Arabidopsis thaliana: one gene and its partners. The protein of the gene in region 3 purifies or fractionates together with the protein of the main gene of each other region. This does not show direct contact. Each region holds a gene or a part of one and is shown on either strand. Other genes may lie near its edges.

Evidence for each region.
Region 1: the proteins of RbcX2 (region 3) and rbcL purify together in Arabidopsis thaliana (affinity purification with mass spectrometry, with the first as the bait; one study listed by BioGRID). This does not show direct contact.
Region 2: the proteins of RbcX2 (region 3) and THI1 purify together in Arabidopsis thaliana (affinity purification with mass spectrometry, with the first as the bait; one study listed by BioGRID). This does not show direct contact.

Annotation. Positions count from the first base shown.
Region 1 is NC_000932.1:53,249-56,950, reverse strand, and holds rbcL (ribulose-1,5-bisphosphate carboxylase/oxygenase large subunit), read right to left. Parts: upstream 1,994-3,702; coding exon 554-1,993; downstream 1-553. Other genes in the region: atpB (ATP synthase CF1 beta subunit), read left to right, coding at 2,795-3,702. UniProt on the Arabidopsis thaliana protein: RuBisCO catalyzes two reactions: the carboxylation of D-ribulose 1,5-bisphosphate, the primary event in carbon dioxide fixation, as well as the oxidative fragmentation of the pentose substrate in the photorespiration process.
Region 2 is NC_003076.8:22,244,778-22,248,885, forward strand, and holds THI1 (thiazole biosynthetic enzyme, chloroplast (ARA6) (THI1) (THI4)), read left to right. Parts: upstream 1-1,741; 5' UTR 1,742-1,856; coding exon 1,857-2,255; intron 2,256-2,378; coding exon 2,379-2,867; intron 2,868-2,952; coding exon 2,953-3,114; 3' UTR 3,115-3,555; downstream 3,556-4,108. Other genes in the region: AT5G54760 (Translation initiation factor SUI1 family protein), read left to right, coding at 180-385, 548-601, 696-740; AT5G54780 (Ypt/Rab-GAP domain of gyp1p superfamily protein), read right to left, coding at 3,919-3,930, 4,017-4,100. UniProt on the Arabidopsis thaliana protein: Involved in biosynthesis of the thiamine precursor thiazole. Catalyzes the conversion of NAD and glycine to adenosine diphosphate 5-(2-hydroxyethyl)-4-methylthiazole-2-carboxylic acid (ADT), an adenylated thiazole intermediate.
Region 3 is NC_003076.8:6,711,456-6,715,943, forward strand, and holds RbcX2 (Chaperonin-like RbcX protein), read right to left. Parts: upstream 2,483-4,488; 5' UTR 1,991-2,482; coding exon 1,709-1,990; intron 1,614-1,708; coding exon 1,522-1,613; intron 1,398-1,521; coding exon 1,340-1,397; coding exon of another isoform or gene 1,310-1,339; exon of another isoform or gene 1,001-1,309; coding exon 935-1,000; intron 825-934; coding exon 711-824; 3' UTR 517-710; downstream 1-516. Other genes in the region: AT5G19850 (alpha/beta-Hydrolases superfamily protein), read right to left, coding at 1-207; AT5G19860 (transmembrane protein, putative (Protein of unknown function, DUF538)), read right to left, coding at 3,078-3,125, 3,885-4,382. UniProt on the Arabidopsis thaliana protein: Chaperone involved in RuBisCO assembly process.

The DNA of each region.
Region 1 (3,702 bases), on a different chromosome or scaffold from region 3:
TATCGATGCAATTGCTAAGATTATTAAGTAAAGTAATTGAAATGAATCAATTTTAATTCTAAATGAAAAGAAGGATTTTCTTATATTGTGTAAAATTCTCATAAAAAAAAAAGAAATATTTGTTCTTCGCTTATGAATATAAGAATATTAAGAACTTTTTTAGTAAAATCTCGTATACTAATATAAAAAAAAACTTTTTTTATTCCAATACGGAATGAAAAGAAAAGGACAACATGCAGGATGGGGTAGAAGAAGCGGGGATACTTGGTTCAAGCCCTGACACGAAAGAATATAACACTCCTAAGAATTAAGAATCCATGTTTCGTATAGGATTTCTTGTGGACACAACACTACAATAACAAAATTGTAGTTGTGTTTAATCTTCTTTTTTTTATTGAAGAGTTTTTTTTCTATCTAAATTTAAGTATGTATCTATCAAAAAAAATAGTATATACAACAGATAACCTCGGCTCAATCTTTTTTAGTAAAAAAAAGATTGAGCCGAGTGCAATTAAACTAATAAAACAAACGTGAATTACTAAATCTAATTCATCTACTCTTGGCCATCTAATTTATCGATGGTTGGGAAGTTAAATGTGATCTCTTTCCATACTTCACAAGCAGCAGCTAGTTCAGGACTCCATTTGCAAGCTTCACGGATAATTTCATTACCCTCGACTGCAAGATCACGTCCCTCATTACGAGCTTGTACACATGCTTCCAGAGCTACTCGGTTGGCTACGGCACCCGGTGCATTTCCCCAAGGGTGGCCTAAAGTTCCTCCACCGAATTGTAGTACAGAATCATCTCCAAAGATCTCGGTCAAAGCAGGCATATGCCAAACGTGAATACCCCCTGAAGCCACAGGCAGAACACCAGGTAGTGAGACCCAATCTTGAGTGAAAAAGATACCGCGGCTTCGATCTTTTTCAACATAATCATCGCGCAGTAAATCAACAAAGCCCAAAGTTGACTCCCTGTCTCCTTCAAGTTTACCTACTACTGTACCCGCGTGAATATGATCTCCACCAGATAGACGTAAAGCTTTAGCTAGTACACGGAAGTGCATACCATGATTCTTCTGTCTATCAATAACAGCGTGCATTGCACGGTGGATGTGAAGAAGTAGGCCATTATCTCGGCAATAATGAGACAAACTAGTATTTGCGGTGAATCCCCCTGTTAAGTAGTCATGCATTACGATAGGAACTCCCAATTCTCTGGCAAATACAGCTCTTTTGATCATTTCTTCGCATGTACCCGCAGTAGCATTCAAATAATGCCCTTTGATTTCACCTGTTTCAGCCTGTGATTTATAAATAGCTTCGGCACAAAATAAGAAACGGTCTCTCCAACGCATAAATGGTTGGGAGTTCACATTCTCATCATCTTTGGTAAAATCAAGTCCACCACGTAGACATTCATAAACTGCTCTACCATAGTTTTTCGCGGATAACCCCAATTTTGGTTTAATAGTACATCCTAATAGGGGACGTCCATACTTGTTCAATTTATCTCTTTCAACTTGGATACCATGAGGTGGTCCTTGGAAAGTTTTAGTATAAGCAGGAGGGATTCGCAGATCCTCTAGACGTAGAGCAGCCAGGGCTTTGAACCCAAATACATTACCCACAATCGAGGTAAACATGTTAGTAACCGAACCTTCTTCAAAAAGGTCTAAGGGATAAGCTACATACGCAATAAATTGAGTTTCTTCTCCTGGAACGGGCTCGATGTGGTAGCATCGTCCTTTGTAACGATCAAGGCTGGTAAGCCCATCGGTCCACACAGTTGTCCATGTACCAGTAGAAGATTCAGCAGCTACCGCAGCCCCTGCTTCTTCAGGTGGAACTCCAGGTTGAGGAGTTACTCGGAATGCTGCCAAGATATCAGTATCCTTGGTTTCATATTCAGGAGTATAGTAAGTCAATTTATACTCTTTAACACCAGCTTTGAACCCAACACTTGCTTTAGTCTCTGTTTGTGGTGACATAAGTCCCTCCCTACAAGTCATGAATTTAGAATTCTTGCAATAAAACAAAACAACAAGGTCTACTCGACATAAATTAGGAATAGATTTAATTAACCTTTTTCACAGGAATCTTTCACAAAATTATCAACTAATCAGAATTATTCTTTATTAGACCATGATATTTGATTCGCCAAATACATCATTATTGTATATTCTTTCATATGTATAGCGCAACCTAATACTTCTTTTTCAAGTTTTGAATCTTTGACTTTTTATAAATCCAAATATTTAATATTAAAATTAAAATATTAATAAAATCACTCTTGACAGTAATATCTGTTGTATATGTAAATCCTAGATATGACAATATGCGGAATTCATCCATGAAAATGAAAAACAAGGGGGGGTTGCTAAAGGGATGAATAAATGGGACGCATAACCGGATATGCTAAAATGAAAATACGAAAAAAAAGGCTAATGAGATCGAAATAATGAATCATAACTAAAGTTCCGTTTCGAATTCGCTAGATAAAACAAAGGCTTGCCTATTCCTATTATGATAAAAAAATAAAAGACTTTCCGCAAAAAATTTTTTTATTCATATATTTTTTATTTTAAAACTAGGTTTCAGTTAGTTGAGCTTGAAAATGACTATTCCTTCATTGAATGAATAAAAAATTGAATTCCACATCCGCTTGGGTGGGACCAACGAAATCGAGTGCTTACTCCCACTTTTTATTGAATTAACCGATTAATTTGCTATCGAAGATTTTTTCTGTATTCGAAAAAATTCGTAACAAAATTTAACATATTTTTTTTATTATGAGAACAAATCCTACTACTTCAAATCCAGAGGTTTCGATACGTGAAAAAAAAAACCTGGGACGTATCGCCCAAATCATTGGTCCGGTACTGGATGTAGCCTTCCCCCCGGGCAAAATGCCTAATATTTACAATGCTCTGGTGGTTAAGGGTCGAGATACTCTTGGTCAAGAAATTAATGTGACTTGTGAAGTACAGCAATTATTAGGAAATAATCGAGTTAGAGCTGTAGCTATGAGTGCGACAGAGGGTTTAAAGAGAGGAATGGACGTGGTTGATATGGGAAATCCTCTAAGTGTTCCAGTCGGCGGAGCGACTCTAGGACGAATTTTCAACGTGCTTGGGGAACCCGTTGATAATTTAGGTCCTGTCGATACTCGCACAACATCTCCTATCCATAAATCCGCGCCTGCTTTTATAGAATTAGATACAAAATTATCGATTTTTGAAACAGGAATTAAAGTAGTAGATCTTTTGGCCCCTTATCGTCGTGGGGGAAAAATTGGACTATTCGGTGGGGCTGGCGTGGGTAAAACAGTACTAATTATGGAATTGATCAACAACATTGCTAAAGCTCATGGTGGTGTATCCGTATTTGGTGGAGTAGGCGAACGGACTCGTGAAGGAAATGATCTTTACATGGAAATGAAAGAATCTGGAGTCATTAATGAACAAAATCTTGCGGAATCCAAAGTGGCCCTAGTTTATGGTCAGATGAATGAACCGCCAGGAGCTCGTATGAGAGTTGGTCTGACTGCCTTAACTATGGCAGAATATTTCCGAGATGTTAATGAGCAAGACGTACTTCTATTTATCGACAATATCTTCCGTTTCGTACAAGCAGGATCCGAGGTATCCGCCTTATTGGGTAGAATGCCTTCTGCTGTGGGTTATCAACCCACCCTTAG
Region 2 (4,108 bases), about 16 Mb from region 3:
TACTCTACCAAAACTTGAGATTGTATTAGTCACTGATCTTCTTCTACTTGTTTTAGATACTTGAACATGTTATCATTTGTAAATACATGTTAATCAAAGCATCATTTTTTGTTTGATTATGCTGTTTATCTTACATGGGAATCTGTTTATCTCTCTCAATTTGCTGTTGCTTGTTTCAGATCCGTTTGCTGATGCGAATGTTGAGGACTCAGGTGCCGGAACAAAAGAATACGTTCATATCCGTGTCCAGCAGCGAAATGGTAGGAAAAGCTTGACAACCGTCCAGGGCCTGAAGAAAGAGTACAGCTATACCAAGATACTTAAGGACCTCAAGAAAGAGTTTTGCTGCAACGGCACTGTGGTTCAGGATTCAGAACTCGGACAGGTAGGTTTTATCAAAACACTCTATTGATCCATGTAGTGGAAAGTGGATGATAATATTTCTGTCGTTAGTGCCTGCTTGAACAAACCAGAATGATTTGGCCTCTTATCTGAACATTTGAGCTTCTCTGTTTTAGTTTTGTTTATGGTTTGTGTTGATTTGTAGGTTATACAGCTTCAAGGTGACCAACGTAAGAACGTCTCCACATTCCTTGTCCAGGTAAATATCAATAACTCTACGAGTCTCTTTACTGCTAAAACATACAAACTGTGTAAGATGATTGTCTGATCTCACTGTTTCTCTGTAATCACAGGCTGGTTTGGTGAAGAAGGATAACATCAAGATCCATGGTTTCTAAGCTATCTAGTGGATCATATTATTAATAAAACCATATCTTTTTCTTTCATCTCTTGTTGCGAATTTCGGGTTTGATTCATCAAAATCGTCTTCTTCCTAGTGTTCTTCTTCTGTTTGGTATTCGAATTTTAATGGCTTATGTTCACCATACTTCTTCCCCTGTTTTCGTGTTACTCTGTTTCACATCTTACTTATCTTATAATATCAGTTTGTTAAGATAATTCTGCTCTAACTTGTTATAATTTTTCTCTACAATGGTTCATAGTTTTAAAATTATATAAGGACCAACCGGAAGTTTATACGGTCGATACTTTCCAAGTATACCAAATTGCAGGTTTTAGTTTGGACCACAAAAAAGTTCAATGATCAAAAAGGCTGATGTATCTTCTCACTAGTAATAATAATTCATAAGCACACAAATAATGATAAATGAACTGTCTCTGTCACTAGTAAAGTCCAAATGCCGTCTCTATCGTACAAAGATATTTCACCTTCTTGTTGTTCGTGTCACCACACACTCACTGCAACTGGCTACAGATGTTCCCAGATAAAAGCTTCGAGATATTTTTTTATACATTTATTTTGATCCATATCACAATATTAATTGCAAAGTTTTTTCCCTTTTCTTCAAGAAATAGAGCAATCCGATTCAGTCAATTCTTTGAAGTTATAACAGTAATCAATTCGCCATTAATTTTATACATTTAATCAATGTATAATATAAGTATTTTTCTTTCATAAATGGGGGAAAAAAATAGAGATAGTTTTTGACCAAAAAAAAAATAAAAAAAAATAGACATAGTCATTGGAGATGGTTTTACTAAATTTGGGCTTGTTCAAGAGAAGTGTCTTTTCTTCATTCAATCAGAACCGTGAAGAAAGGAGATCGTTACTTTCCATTGATGGCTAAAAATTAAAATAATCACGATAAATATTAATAATACAAAAAACAATTAAAATAACAAAAAAAGATCAAAAATTCTCTAACCCTTCATTCCTTATCTCTGACGTGGCCATCAATCTTCAGATTTTCTTCTTCTTCTAATTTAAATACTCAACAACCACTCTTCACTTCACCATCAGCATCACTAAACTCGAACCCTAAAGAAAAACAAAAATGGCTGCCATAGCTTCTACTCTCTCTCTTTCTTCAACCAAACCTCAGAGACTTTTCGATTCTTCCTTCCATGGCTCAGCCATCTCCGCAGCTCCTATCTCCATCGGTCTCAAACCACGATCTTTCTCCGTTCGCGCCACAACCGCTGGTTACGACTTGAACGCTTTCACGTTCGACCCGATCAAGGAATCGATCGTGTCACGTGAGATGACGAGAAGGTACATGACGGATATGATCACTTATGCTGAGACTGATGTCGTCGTCGTTGGTGCTGGATCTGCTGGTTTATCTGCTGCTTATGAGATCAGTAAGAACCCTAATGTTCAAGTTGCCATTATTGAGCAATCTGTTAGTCCTGGTGGTGGTGCTTGGCTCGGTGGTCAGCTTTTCTCCGCCATGGTAAGATTTAGATTCATTTGCATGTGTGATTTTGTTGAAGTTTTGAGTTCTGTTTCTGTTTTAATGGAGAATTAGGGTTTAGATTGAATCATTATGAGTATTGATTGCTTGTGCTTATGGTAGATTGTTCGCAAACCAGCTCACTTGTTCCTTGACGAGATTGGTGTGGCTTACGATGAGCAAGACACCTACGTTGTGGTTAAGCACGCGGCTCTGTTCACATCAACCATCATGAGCAAGCTTTTGGCTCGTCCTAATGTGAAGCTCTTCAACGCTGTGGCTGCTGAGGATTTGATTGTGAAAGGAAACAGAGTTGGTGGTGTGGTGACTAACTGGGCTCTTGTGGCTCAGAACCACCACACACAATCGTGTATGGACCCTAATGTTATGGAAGCGAAGATTGTGGTTAGCTCTTGTGGTCATGATGGTCCTTTTGGAGCTACTGGTGTTAAGAGGTTGAAGAGTATTGGGATGATTGATCATGTTCCTGGGATGAAAGCTTTGGACATGAACACTGCTGAGGACGCTATTGTGAGGTTGACCAGAGAGGTTGTTCCTGGTATGATTGTTACCGGTATGGAAGTTGCTGAGATCGATGGTGCACCGAGAATGGTGAGTATTCTTGACCTATATATGTTTGATTTGGTATCCATAGTTTTCGTTAGATCATGTCCTGAGTTAGTTTGTGGTGATGTAGGGACCAACTTTTGGTGCTATGATGATATCGGGACAAAAGGCGGGACAACTTGCTCTTAAGGCTTTGGGGCTACCGAATGCTATTGACGGAACTCTCGTTGGAAACCTAAGCCCGGAGCTGGTCTTAGCCGCAGCAGATTCAGCTGAAACCGTAGATGCTTAAAATCAAAAGGTTTTAACGTTAAGAAAAGTTTCCCTTGATCCTTCGGATGTTGAAGGAGTGCAATAAAAGGAGTTTAGGTGTTTAATATGTCTTGAACTTTTCTGGTGTCTTTGTTTCTCTCTTCTGAACTTCTGTGTAAAATATCGTATCCGTTCATTCGTAATGCGTATGTTCTCGTTCTTCTCCTTCTTTATGGCTCTAGTACAAGCAGCTTTCTCGTTGTCGTTGGCAATACAAAATCTGTCTAAATTTGAGGGATGAGATTAGTGTTGGATGTCGGATTCTTGTCTTCAATTCTGATTCTTATCCTTGAAGAAATTATGTATAGATAGAGCTATTCAATGTCTATAGTTTCTCTGCTGATGAAAGAACGAAGAGTTTTATGATTTTAGATTCAGAGAACAGAGGAAAACTGTGAAATAGAAAGAAAAAAGTTTTTACATTTCTTTTATGAACATATATATATATATATATATACTGATGTCTGACCTGGAATTCAAATACTCCATCCTTATTTACATATATAATCCGACTTAGAAGTGCAACAATGAGTTTAGAAATGACATCGATGATAATTCTTTTGTGTGCTTTTTTTTTGTTTTGGTTTGTGAAACAAATATTACAAAATGTGTGGATTTGTATGAACAGTTTACAACGAGAAGTTGTTGTGTAAATTGGGCTCTTTTCTTCAGAATTCTTGCCACCCAAGGAATCGTTAGTCACTTTTTTGTCGCCGGTTTTGTGAGTTATCAAATATGTATAAAAACATACAAAAACGCTACTACTCGTGAATCTTCTGCAATGCTATTTCTTGGCCTGAAATACCAAAAACAGAACAATCAGAGAGTTATAAGATAGCTAAAGAAGGATCATACACAAACTCATAAGAGTATAAAGCAAACCTTTTTAAGATACTTCTTGTGAAGTTTCATTGCACCAGTACAGGCTTTTTTAGCATCCAAGTTTCCGGTTATGTCGTTTAAGATCTGAGCAA
Region 3 (4,488 bases):
TTCAGAAGAAGCTTCGTCCGTGACGGAAGAACATGAGACGGACACAATTCCCCTCTTAGTCGGAGATCTTACGATTGCGGTCGAAATTGATTGTCGGAGAAAATGGGTTTCGCTGAAACTGATAATCGAAGAGTTCTTGACACGGAACAGCGACGGGAATTCGAAGTTGGTAAAGGGTAGAGCTGCAAAAATGCTAGTCTTCGCCATGAATTTTCGGCGTGGTTCCGTGATGAGTGAGGACTGTAATATAAGTCAAACCAGGTTTTGAAGTTGTTACGAGGACAAGTGTTACGATTTGGACCAACCGCTGTTTTCCTTAATCATGACCACGTCATTGCATTCAAGCCTGTTGTTGCTTGCTTATAAAGGTTGTCAATACTCAAAACTAGTAATCAATTTTTATTATTTTCTTTTCTTTATTTGCAAAATGAGAAGATTGGCATTGTGATTATCATTTTGAGCCTACCAATGTTAATGTGAGTGGTGTGAGCGTAAGAGATGACTGAGAAAGTAAGTTTAGGAGCACAAGAAGGGTGTTGTTTTTTGCCCCTAATATCATATAGTACATGCCAAGAATAGACATCATATACACACTGCTCTTTCACTATAGTAATATGTAATCAAACTAAAAAACTCGAAGTCCTAAAAACTGAGAAGCAAATTGACAAAGCAAATGTTGTGCTGTGGTGTGCGCTGTCTTCTTCAGCCTATTACCTTGAGTTTGTGTCATCGGAAGGCCATATCACGGTCTCCATCAGGCGTTCACGCATCAACGCCAAGTTTTCATCCGATATTTCCTGGTATATCTTCCCATGGTCGCATTTCTACACAACAAACTATACAATATTAACTTTTGAGTCTTTTCTGGTTCCCATGGCAGGAAGGGAAAAACACATAAACCAAAACTGGAGCGAGATATAGCAAGCGATTTTACCTTGATCCATTTGCCATACAAGTGAAGACGCGTGATCATCACTCTTTCTGCAAGCTCCTGACTCTCCTACAAGTAGTTAAGACAAAAAAAATCAAACTCAATTGTCTGTGTTTAAATACCAAGCTCTAAACAAGGTTGAATCAAACATAATTTATCACAACACAGTGTGATTGTAATAAGAACAAATCTATGGAACTGCTATCTCTGTTGCAATACACCAAATCAGAGACAAGTCTTATAAACTTCAGCCCTCACTAACTGCTCATTAACCAACTCACCACAGCTACAATCTGCTACATTCAGTCCTCGGCTAGTTATAGTATACCAGCTGAACTTGTTCAACTAGACCTAATGCATCTTACAGATGATGCTTGTTCATGTGAGATATAAACTAAACTTGTTTACCTTGCCGAGGGCACGGAGGAAACGTTTGCCATCCGTCGGTCTGTTTGTTATGATATGACTGTTTTACAACAAAGGAGAAACATAATTAAGACCACAAGGCAAAAATGATCGGAGTAAAGTGTTTTTGTTAAATCTAATCCTATACAGAACTTTAATCAAATGATAAAGCATAAGAAACTTACTTATAGAACCAAGTGTATTGAGGAGGATTCATTTCGTACAGCTGATGAAGAACCGTCCTCACAGCTTTGTATGTAAAATAATTAACAATTTGCTACAAAATCGAAAGCCAGCCATCCATAATAAGGTTATTGCCAAAGGTCAAATCTTTGTCTATGAAAACAAGGGTTCATGCAAAAGTTCTCTCACCTTTTGTACATCACCGAAGGTATCGTCGTAATTACCAGCAACATCCTCATTCACAATCAAGAGCTTTTTGCTCTTTCGATTCGCAATTCTCGATACACGCTTCGGAGAAAGCCTAAAAACAATGCGTGAGCCAGTGAAAGAGCTTCCTAATTCCAGATTTCTTGCTTTGCCAAGGATCTTCTTCCTCCTGATGGTACCCGTCGTGTGAGCATCCAGACATAAACATGGACTGCTCGAAGAGTCCATCACCGGTGAGCCAACAACAAACCAAGCACTCACCATTACTCCAAACCAAACAGCAAGATCAAGACTTTTCCCACCAGAAATTACCAAACAGTTCGTAGATTCCCTTAGATCGATTGTAAGAATCAGTGGGAAAAGAATATGGAAGATAAAACCCTGACCCTGGTTTGTTATAGCAAAACAGAAAACAAGAATTGGGTCTGTAAGATGGAAAATGGCCGTTGAATCTTAGCCAGTCAAAATCAGGGACTTGTGATATTTATTTATTTTTCCTAGCAAGCAGAGGCAAAGGCAAAGACAAACAAGAAAAGCACCGGGTGGGCTTTCGGGTTTACGTGGACGCCTCCCTAAAATAAGGTGTATTTCTTGTCGTCTTGCAGCTTGTAAGTTAGAAAAAACATGGGAGAATTGCAGAATCACGAGAAAGTCTTCAAAATCACGAGTTCGGGCATCGGTCTAAAATGCTTATGAATCCAAGGCATAATCAAAGGCCGGATTTTTTTGGTTACCAATGGAGAAAATAAGTTTGCTATAAGACTCTCGGCCATCTTGTTCGGCATATCTCAGCCACCATGACTCTCGAATCAGTAGTTCAAAACCATTCCACTATCACATCAACAAGGACATCAATGTACATCAAGGCTTGTGCTCAGCCCTTTCCTTCATCACAGCCACTAAAACCCTTACGGTCACCGAGAATGATCAAGTTCTCAAGCAGATCATTCCGAACTTGAATGTATTCTTAGTATAATCTGGTAAGAGTCAAACAGATCAAGTTCTCAAGCAGATCACCTTCTAATGTAATATATGAAACAACCTATCAGCTCTTAGAATGCATCTTCCATTCGTTATGCCATACATGATACAACAACTAGTAGTAAGGAGCTTAACGGCCACACAGTCTAACTATGGTGGTGAGGAACGAACTCGGGGACATTTAGTCATGAGATACAACATTTTCGTGGAAACCAGTTTTAACAAGACGTACATAATGGATATATCGACATTTCATACCAAGTCTTACAGAAAAGACTTGTCTAGTTATTGTATGTATATGTACAAACATGACTTAGAGACTCAACTCTATCTGCGTGTTGTCGCAGACTCTGTGACTGCCAAGAGTGTTTTACTCGGTGATTAACATTTCCGCTTCATCCATCATTCCTTGCCCTTTCTGAGAAAAACAAAAGCTTCTGTTAATTGCAGGTACCACCAATTCCCTACAAACCAGCCTGAATCACTTTCGCGAGTTGGCTGGTTTGAAAGGATCTAAGGCAATGACCATTTCAAGAACCAGACAAAAACCATCAAAGATCGGAAAACATTTGCTAGAGGCTTGTACAACTGACATTGCAAGAAATGCAGAATGACCTACTTTAGTATTATAAACAAACAGCATTCCACTTTTCTCAGCTACGCATTAAGCTATCACTACGAACTAAAAGAACAAAAGAGAACCAAACAGAGGAAAAAACTCTGCTACTATCAGTTTCAACTTTCAATGATGTATGTCCCTCAAAAACCAGCAATGTGAAAGCATTAAATACAGTTTCTTTTCACAAGTCTTAGATAGATAAATTTCAACCCTTTCTCAAGCTTAGTCTGATTCTCCAAAGACTTTGCTTTTAAGCCTTCTGTGGTTCAATTTTGAGAAAGCTGCCATGTTCATGTTGTTCCTCAGTCAATGTGTAAATTGCATTCAACAGATATATATTATATGTACCCACGCATTTACCCATAATCAATGCCTAATGAAATGAAGAAACAATCTACAAATCCAACAATGGTCAGTGCAACTTGAACCCAGAAACTCAGAGATTCCAGAATCTATCAGTATCTCCTATAAATCCTCAAGAACCCTTAAAGCCCAGAAATATCTTCAATCATATCAACCAAATTTACGGCCCCAAAAACGCAAAGATCTAATCTTTACCTCGAGAAAACTCTTCCATGAATCTCCACAAGAGCCAGAGACACCATTATCGTGACAAGAATGTATAGTCTTAAACTGGTCAATATCAAGCTTCTTATTGATAAAGCCAACTTTGAAGTAGATTGAATCAGAAGGTGGAAGATCGACCTTGATCTCATCGACATCGAGCCAAATAAAGAATTTCTTCACCTGAATACCCTTGAGCTCGGTGATTGAACCGTAACCGATACGACCAGATATGGTCTTATCGTAGTGAACGAGGTAGTCAAATTCAATCTCACAGGAATTGGGCAAGTGAACGACGAATCGGCCATCGTCGGAGAGGGTGAAATCGGTGACGGTGTCCGGTAAGAGACCGCTTGGGAGACCGTACTTTGGGAGGAGTTCGTAAACGGTGGAAATCGAATCCGGGTCGGGTTCGTTGAGGGAATGGGTCGTCGTAGTGAAGAGGGTCAAAGAGAAGATGAAGATTGAGATGAAGAAAGGATAAAGGGCCATACTTTGTTTGAGGATAGAGAGAGAGAGAGAAGACTTCTGAGATTGATTGATTTTGTAGAGAATCGTTTTTGAGATTAGTTTGACTCTTTTTTTTAGACCTAAGAAA